Oryzias latipes: one gene and its partner. The protein of the gene in region 1 binds, or shares a complex with, the protein of each later gene. Links are inferred from orthologs where the notes say so. Each region holds a gene or a part of one and is shown on either strand. Other genes may lie near its edges.

The links. Proteins that work in one complex are often made in the same cells at the same time.
Region 2: eif3j (region 1) and eif3l share a complex: the UniProt entries of both Homo sapiens proteins name them as parts of the eukaryotic translation initiation factor 3 (eIF-3) complex. The link is inferred for Oryzias latipes from reciprocal best matches to the Homo sapiens genes EIF3J and EIF3L.

What each region holds. Positions count from the first base shown.
Region 1 is NC_019861.2:18,399,561-18,403,777, forward strand, and holds the start of eif3j (eukaryotic translation initiation factor 3 subunit J), read right to left. Parts: upstream 2,809-4,217; 5' UTR 2,761-2,808; coding exon 2,694-2,760; intron 2,557-2,693; coding exon 2,456-2,556; intron 1,041-2,455; coding exon 977-1,040; intron 903-976; coding exon 811-902; intron 731-810; coding exon 631-730; intron 446-630; coding exon 287-445; intron 179-286; coding exon 105-178; intron 1-104. Other genes in the region: stereocilin, read right to left, coding at 4,090-4,184. UniProt on the Homo sapiens protein: Component of the eukaryotic translation initiation factor 3 (eIF-3) complex, which is required for several steps in the initiation of protein synthesis.
Region 2 is NC_019873.2:29,649,452-29,653,665, forward strand, and holds the start of eif3l (eukaryotic translation initiation factor 3 subunit L), read right to left. Parts: upstream 2,801-4,214; 5' UTR 2,678-2,800; coding exon 2,648-2,677; intron 2,388-2,647; coding exon 2,318-2,387; intron 2,153-2,317; coding exon 1,942-2,152; intron 1,858-1,941; coding exon 1,778-1,857; intron 1,634-1,777; coding exon 1,572-1,633; intron 1,493-1,571; coding exon 1,423-1,492; intron 1,340-1,422; coding exon 1,266-1,339; intron 1,119-1,265; coding exon 947-1,118; intron 880-946; coding exon 725-879; intron 636-724; coding exon 465-635; intron 387-464; coding exon 253-386; intron 164-252; coding exon 1-163. UniProt on the Homo sapiens protein: Component of the eukaryotic translation initiation factor 3 (eIF-3) complex, which is required for several steps in the initiation of protein synthesis.

The sequences.
Region 1 (4,217 bases):
TAAAAATTAAGCTGAAATTGAGAAGACAAACTTCTCAACAATGCCATGTGTCAACAGCGCCCCCTTTTGTACAAGTAGTCACTTTTAGATGATCAAGAACTTACTTTTTCTTGTTTCTGTTTTTCACTAAGTAGAACCGAAAGGGAATTACTGACTTTCTTTAAGTCCTCTACTTCCACTGCATGAAAAAGAAAAAAGATGCACATATTAGGCCGGCTTGGATTTATAAAGAAAATGGCATTTAAGAAGTGATGTTGAGGATAAATGAAACTGAGGTCTTCCTTACATGAAATACAAAGTTCCCGAAACAACGATTCCAAAAAACTTGAATAATGCACAGACTTTTCAAACTGGGATATCTTTTCTTTCAGCACTTTTTCAAATTCTGTGAATTCTTCTTTGGAGGATGGACACATGGCATCAATGCCGGTGACACTGCCAACACCTGAGGTGAGAGAAAGAAAAAAAAAAAAAACGTTTTTAGATGTCTTCTAAGAACAAAAAGTTACATTAAAAAAAAGTTTTTCATTGGTGCAACAAATGTTTTTAATTGTAAAAATAGTGTAGAGCAAAATCCTTTCTTTTTAACTTCCTGGAAAGAGAGAAATGAAGAGGCCAACTCTTTCTTACCAAAAGCATCTTTTGCTAACTCCAAGTCAGCCTCTTCCTGTAGTTTTTTCACTCTTAACTTTTCTGCAAGTTGTTCTTCAGGAGTTAGTTCCTCTTGTTCCTAAAGAAAGCAAAAAAACAATAACATTATAGGAATATTGTTTTACCGTTTAAATAAAAAAAGGCCATAGCAACACATACTTGCTCTTGCAACTCCTGCTGTTTCTTCTTTAACCGGTTTTCCTTCTCTTTGATCTTTTCACTTAACCTTTTCTTATCAGAAACTTTCGTCTCTGTAAACACAAGTTTGAAACATTTCAACATTCATACCCATAAAAATGCAAGTTTTTCCTAATGATTATAGTACCTGGTTTCTTCGCCTCCTCCTTTTTCTTCTCATCATCTTCCTCCTCATCATCATCCCAGTTATCCTAAAAAAAAGAAAGAAAGAAAACATATTTAGGTTATTTCCAGAAAAAAAAGGTTGATTTAAAAATGTATTTTTACTTCTTTTTTAAATTAGTTTATCTTAATTTGGTTTATACCAGAAATTCCTGAGCTTTATTTTATTGCATTTATTGCAACATTAACCACTTTGTCTTTTGCAACATGTTGCCAAATCCTATCCCTCAAATCCACAGAAATGTCTTCACCCACTTTGTGAAGCCTAACTCAAGCTTTTACAACATGTGATCTCAAATGAGATGACAGAACAATTCATTAAGCAAAAATAAATAAAACTCATTAACCTAAATAAAATAATTGCAACAGCACCTAGTACTTATTGACTATTAATGTTTCCCCAAAAACAAGGTTACTGTTCCTTTAGTAGTGGGTAGTGTACTTTATTTTAATAAATGAATTAATAAATTAGTTACGTTAGTTTAAACTTATGAGATATTTTCACTAAAAGAGCAGTTTTATTCAGAAATGACCATCCATGTCCAATTATCACTTATGAAACAGTACACTTGCTTACATAGCAAACTACTAGCAAAAAAAAAGTAAATTTTTTCCCAAGCTTTGACACCATGGCATATGTGACCAAATAAATAAATATACATTTATCCCAGGAAGGCCTACACTAAGACTTTCCACGGCTGAACTATTTGGGAAGAAACACGATATTTTCATATAAGCCACCTGAGCTGCAGTGTCAGCTGAGCCGCAACAGCTCAAAACTCCTGCTCAGCCATCGTAAAGTCGGAAAATTCTAGGCCTCCTTTTGGCCGAGTTGAATCATCAGCAGAGAGAATGATTTCCTCTGACTGAGGCTAAGTTGGTAAGCGAGCTATTAGCTAACGTCAGCAGACCGGAGCCCACAGTTACTGCCATTATTCACCTATTTTCACTTTACCACTTTTGGTAAAAAGAAGAAAAAAAGTTGGACTTTTCTGACATTTCTTTTTTAAAATAAGCATCGTCGTGCCCAGCTGAGCGTCCAAAACAGGCTAACTGTTAGCAAATATCTATGCCAATAAATCCTCTAAAATGAAAAGTATATTTCAAAGTCTAAACTATAAACCAAAGCAGATATTATTTCTATTGTTAATAGTTTGCTAAAACAACGTTCAGTTGTCACTTAGTGAAACCCGGACGGAGGGCTGGTGTTAGCTCAACATTGGACAGTCTGTGGAAGCACGCGAGTTAGCCATCCGCTAGCTAACATACAGCTAACACAGTTCTAAGGTTGGGCTTGACGGACACGGAGGAAGCGTGGCATCAAGAGCGATCTGCTTTAAGCCTAACGTCGGCGTGACTCTCGTGAACGACCCGCTAAAAAAACAATACAGATATACCTGAATTTAAATATACACGTTAAGACTATGACATGATGAAGGCATACCTTAACATCTTCCTCTTCGTCTTCGCCTTCCCATTTGTCCATAACTGCAACAACAACTGCCGCCTTTTTAAGCGGCTCCTCTGGCTCGAAGGTCTCGGCGTCTACAATAAGAAAAAACATTCAATATGCGAAGACAACTCGCTATAATCTTATGGTGATATAGTTTTCAACTTTTAAAAGAAGTTTACAACAAGACTACGGTGTATAAATATATTCCATTCCCAACTTAGTTTCTTACCCCAGTCCGCCATGTTGGCTGTGTTTGACAGGCTCGGAGAAACGTGAAGGCTGCTGCCGCTGGGCATGCTCAGTAGCTGCTCCTGACGTCACCGCGAGTTTATGTGACGTCCCCGAGCCAAAAGAGCTATTTCAGGCGAGGAATTTATTCACGATGATTTAAAACAAACAAAGAAAAACTTACAAAAATGATTTCTAGATTATTTTCACAATTATAAGGAACGACTGCCAACCCCCTTATAAATGTTCAAAAACGTAAACACTATGGCAGAAATAACAATATAAAAACAATTAATGAAAAACGTATAAATATTTGTAATTATTAATCTTTTTTTTTTCTATTTTCTTTTCAGGTGGACCAACTTTTTATACCACTTTTTTCTTCACAAGTTCTTGTAAATAATGTCTATCAAAAATATGTTTTTTCTTGGATCTACAGAATCAGGACGCCCATAATGTTTCAAGGTTACTAAACACAAAAGAAAAATTCTAAGATAACAGAGATTTATTTCAAAGAAAATTTTAAACAATTACAGAGTAATAAATGAATTTGTTTTTTCTAAGAGTATCCCTGGTTTGAATAAATATTGAACATTTGTCCTGTTAGATATGATTCGGAACTTATAATATTTGAAAAAGACTGATGAATAGATTACTGTTGGGTTTGCGGTCCCCTGATTCTTGCCTTATGACTGCCAGGATTTGTTTTTTAGACCTCCGAAAGTCCTGAAATGTATGCAAAACATTTGAGGTTATCAGTGAGAGAAGATCTAAGAACAAAAGACAGAAAATGTAAAAATATACATTGTGAAATAAAAGTTTAATTGTTGGTTCCTTTTAATAAAGTAACAGTCATTCAGAGCCCAAGTGGTTTAACTGAACATTTCAGCTAAAAGTTAAAGAAAATTAAGCAAGCACAACAATAATAAACTCACAGCAACAATAGACTGTCATTGATAAGCACTAATACTTCCAGTCTTAACTATTGACTATATACACAAAATAACCTGACAGTTTGCAGTAACATACAGACAAATAAAAAATGTCAATACATTTTTTCATTTGCAAAAAATTTACATTTTTTCCTTGTCAATATACATGTTTTTAGAAAAATAAATGTTAACTTTTATTTATTGTAGGTTTTATATGGGGTTTAAATGAAAACGCTGCAAAATGTTATAATTGTGTTTTTATATCAAAAGCAAAGCTGTACTTTTAGCTAATTTGAAAAAAAAAGGGAATTTGCAACAACGTTCACTAAAATGTCAGGAAACATGACATGAAGAACTCCAGATATGTTGCTTATTTCCTCTTCACAAAAACTGTATCTTGCTTATTTGCTTATATTTTTTATTGTGCTTTGTATCACAGTCCTGAAGCAGCTTAGAAGAGTGAGGTTATGTATCATGGCAGAATGAGACAGTTAGCTGCATCAGTAGTCCAAATATGAGACATGAAGGATTGATGCCAACCACCAAGCCCATTGACCTCCCTGTGAGAAACAGAAAAAACAAAATCAGACCTA
Region 2 (4,214 bases), on another chromosome or scaffold:
GGAAAGCTGCGCCTGCTGCTGCACCTCCTCAGCAAACACCTTCAGCTGCTGCTGAAAGGGTTCTTTGTGGTAGTTGGAGTGAACATTGTCGTAGTTTGGCACCACGGGCGACAGGAACTTAGGACAAGCGAAGCTGAAGAGTTCCTCAAACACCTGCAGATCTCTGAGGAGGTAAAGAGGGTCAGCTGAGGCGGCGGTCTAGCTGAGGCGGCGGTCTAGCTGCAGCGGGTTGGGGAGGGCCGGCCCACTCACCCCTTCTGCATGCGCAGCATCTTGTCGCCGTACTTCTCCCTGAGCTGGGTGTGGATGCTCTCGTCGATGCGCATCGGGTACATGGTGAGGGCGATGGCCAGCAGACCGTGCATCTGCTCGTTTTGTTTGTTGATCTGAAAGCAGGTCAGTCAGGTTGTGTGAAGATCAGCTGCTCAGGTCACCAGCATCCACGATCACCTGCTCTTCCTCACCATTTCATACTTATAGGTGGACCTCTGGAACATGTTTCTCGTTCGTTGGATGTAGAGCAGGATGTTGGCAAAGACGCGAATGGCGTCCTGGTAGCGGCGCATCATCAGATAGGCAAAGCCCACATAGTAGTAGGTGGTGATCTGGCACTCAGGCACACGAGAGTACATGCTCTGGAAGAGGAAAGGCAAAGATCCAGAAGGTTCTGGAGAATTCTGCACCCATGGAGTCACAGAGTTCATCAGGTGGCCTCCAATCCTACCTTCTTGTTGAGCTCAATGTTCTCCAGAACTTTAATGGCCTGGTAATAATCCCCGAGCAGAGAGTGCAGCCTCAGAAGGCCGACCAGACTGAAGTAACCCAACATCTTGTAGAGAGAGTGACGTCCGTACTCTCCAGCCACGCTCTCTGGGTCTCCTGCATGGAGACGAAGAGGTTTGAAAGGGCAAAGCTAAAAAAAAAAAAGATCTTTTTTTGTCTTTACCTCCACTGGTGTAGACCTCCAGCTGGCGGTTAATGTTGCTCTTGTCCACCAGGGAGTGGAGAACATTGAGAACGCTGTGGACGTTCCAGATTTTTGGGTTGTTCCTCAGGAACTCGATCTCCTCCTCTGACTTTTTAGCCGTTTTGCATCGGTACTGACTGAAGGACTGGAACTGAGGAGACACGAGGAGTGACGTCATTTATCTCAACCGCGACTCCAAAGCCGTACTTCCTGTTCGCCATGCCACCGACGGCCCAGTGAGCCGACCTTTAATGACGCCACGGCTGATCATTTGCACTGGAAGAACCTTGTCATGTACCTGGTAGATAAACTCGTCGATGATGTCCCAAAGCCACTGGTTTGGCAGCTCCAAAGGGGCGGGGCCATCGGCATCTGTTTACAAACAATCTCACGTTAGCAACCAACCCGATTCTCCTGAAGTGCTGAGATCAGCAGAAGGAGGCGGCAGCTCCTACTGAGGATGTAGTTGAAGAGGTTGCAGTAGTTGTAGTACGACTCAAACCTCTGCTCCAAAGTCGGGCCCCCCTGATTTAAAAAATAGAAACTTTTAGTCAAAATAAGGTTCCACAATGCACTGCAGTGTTTCTGCTGCGCTGACACTTACGCTGACTTTGGCGTAGATGTGTCTGTAATACAGCTCCTTATAGAGAATGAGGAACACGGCGTCTGCAACAAACAAGCAGATATCATTTTTTCTAAGGACAGAAAAGACTGAGGGGGATTTAGGAGACTATTCTAAAAAATGTCAACGTTTCTCCACAAAATGAAACTCCTGATTATTTCCCCTGAAGCATGACCCGCTGCTCTCACCACTTCCAACGAGTGAAGCGATGGCCTCGGCCTCCGGCCACGGAGACGACTTGAAGAAACGGTCCGTGAGTTTATTCCAGCTGATGAGGAGCAGAACCGGAAAACACTAGTCAGGCTCGTGTCCATCATCCTGAGCAGGCTTCAGCGGGACGGTTCGGCCGTACCTGTTCTCGTAGACGTCCTGGATCTCGTAGATCTTCTGCTCGATGCTCTCGCTGGACACCCGATTGGACTGCAGCTCGTAGACCTTCTGATCGATCAAGTCGGAGATGGTTTTGTGAAAATATTGGAGGAAGTTCTTGATGACTTCTGGAATGACGTGGTACGTCTGCTGCTCATACTGCCTCTCAAAGGCCAGGTCTGCTTTGGGGTCACCTGGAGGCGAACGGGAAAACTTTTGTTCAACGAATGAGGCTTCATCAAATGTTCCTTCCTCAGTCTGGAGCAGAGCTGAGGTCTGTGCCACGACCTTTTGACCTGATGGGAGTTAGAAACGTCACAGTGAGTGACATCACTCTGCACATCTAACGGCATACTCACCGGTGTGTAGGTCGTAGTCGGTGGTGGTGGTGGTGGTGGTGGTGGTGGTCGTGTAGGCGTATGGGTCGTACTGTGGACAAACGGGGGATTGTTATGGCGGCGATCCAGACCCGTCAAGTCAGTTTTTAACGACAAACTAGGTTTCACACATCAATACCGAACATAACGGAACCGTTCCAGATGATAAAGAGATATTATAGGACCAAACAGAACAACATTAGCATGCTGGCTAGCGAGCTCTTCTGCTCCACCGGCTGGAACCCAGAGTGGCTAAATCATGGCTAACTCAAAGCTAACTTTGGAAATCTGCGCGTATTCGTGTAAACTTACTACTACTTCTTCTTCTTCGTGGTACGACATGTTCGCGCGTTCTGTGACAAATTCAGCGACAGAGCAGGAGAAAAGCTATGCGTGATGCCCACAAGCTAACGCCGCTAAACCACGCAGCGCTGACAGGAAGTACGGAGGAAAACCGGAAGGAGAAACTCAGGAAATGGTTCAGCGGTGCATGATGGGATATTGAGTTTGGTGTGGTTCTCAGCTGATAATTCTTGCTGTGAAGAAGTGAGATTTGCATCAGACAACGAATACTAAAGGTACATTTGAAGCAGTTCTTTGCTTAACTAGTTTATTTTTATTGTTTCCCATAAACAAATTACTCAAAGTTTTTCAGAACAGTTCTAAAATATGCACTTTAATATGGTCAATATGCTTGGTGTCTATTTATTTTCAGAAGTGTACAAACATAAAAGATCAGGAAATGCTAAAAGCACACTGACTCCTGGTGATGTAATATAACATCTTTGTTTTCTATTTTAAATAATTTATTTCAACCTTCTGAGTCGGTTTGAACTATAAAATTACGACCAATCCTAATGTTCTCCGTGCAGATGGTAAATAACTACATGAGATGGCTCCTTTACAGTGTTTTTTAATATCAAACTTGCTTCACCCGAGACTGTCCCTGTTTGGAAGCACCTTACAAAACTCCACGCCCTTGGAACAGTTACGTTTGTTTGTGACTTGTTCTTCTGCCCACTTTAGAAACCATGACTCAGAATCTGCATTTGTGGTTGCACATGCTATGTGGCTGCATACAGTTCTTTCACAGATAGCAAGTTATCTAAGACTTGGGCGACCGTGGTGCAGAGGTAGGGCGGTCAACCTCTCAATGGAAGATTGCAGGTTCGGTTCCCACCTTGACTGCCTGTGTCAAAGTGCCCTTGGGCAAGACACTGAACCCCACACTGCTGGTGGTTGTATTGGCATCAGTGTGTGCACGGGACACTGACTGTAAGCATCCTGGGCCTATTAGTAACGGGAGTGAACTACTCGTTACTGCCATAAGGGGGCAGCAGAGACACGTTGTGTTTGAGTTATATTAATAAAAATGGAAACTTTTTCAGAATAAAAAATTAATAAAGTCTCTGCAGAAATTGGACCTTGGCGTTTTTTCACTTGGATTCGTTGGTAATTTTTTCAAAAATCATAAAGGATTTCTCGTTGAGTGTAGTGCTACCTGGACTTGGGGACGGACTGTGAGAGTTTCTGTGATGGAGCATCTTTCTAACTATTGTTCATTTATCCAAATAACGGGGGCGTTTCCACTGTCTGAAAGCAGAGTTAGCTTCATCATCACGGAGTCCTGCAGTGAGGAAACTGTTGGAATTTTGGAAGAGCTGATACCTGAAGAGTGGGGAGGGGAGGGGGGTCCCTCCAAACACACACCCCTCCGAGCTTACCTGCCTCCCCAACTGCCCCGAGAACTGCCTGCATTCAATCCAGAACCACGAAATGAAGCGTGGAGAGAAGGGGTGTGGAGACAAGAAGCTGAGTCTGAGAGAGAAGGAAGGAGAAAAGACACACCAAGGGAGGGGGAAAGGTCAGGGACTCGGGG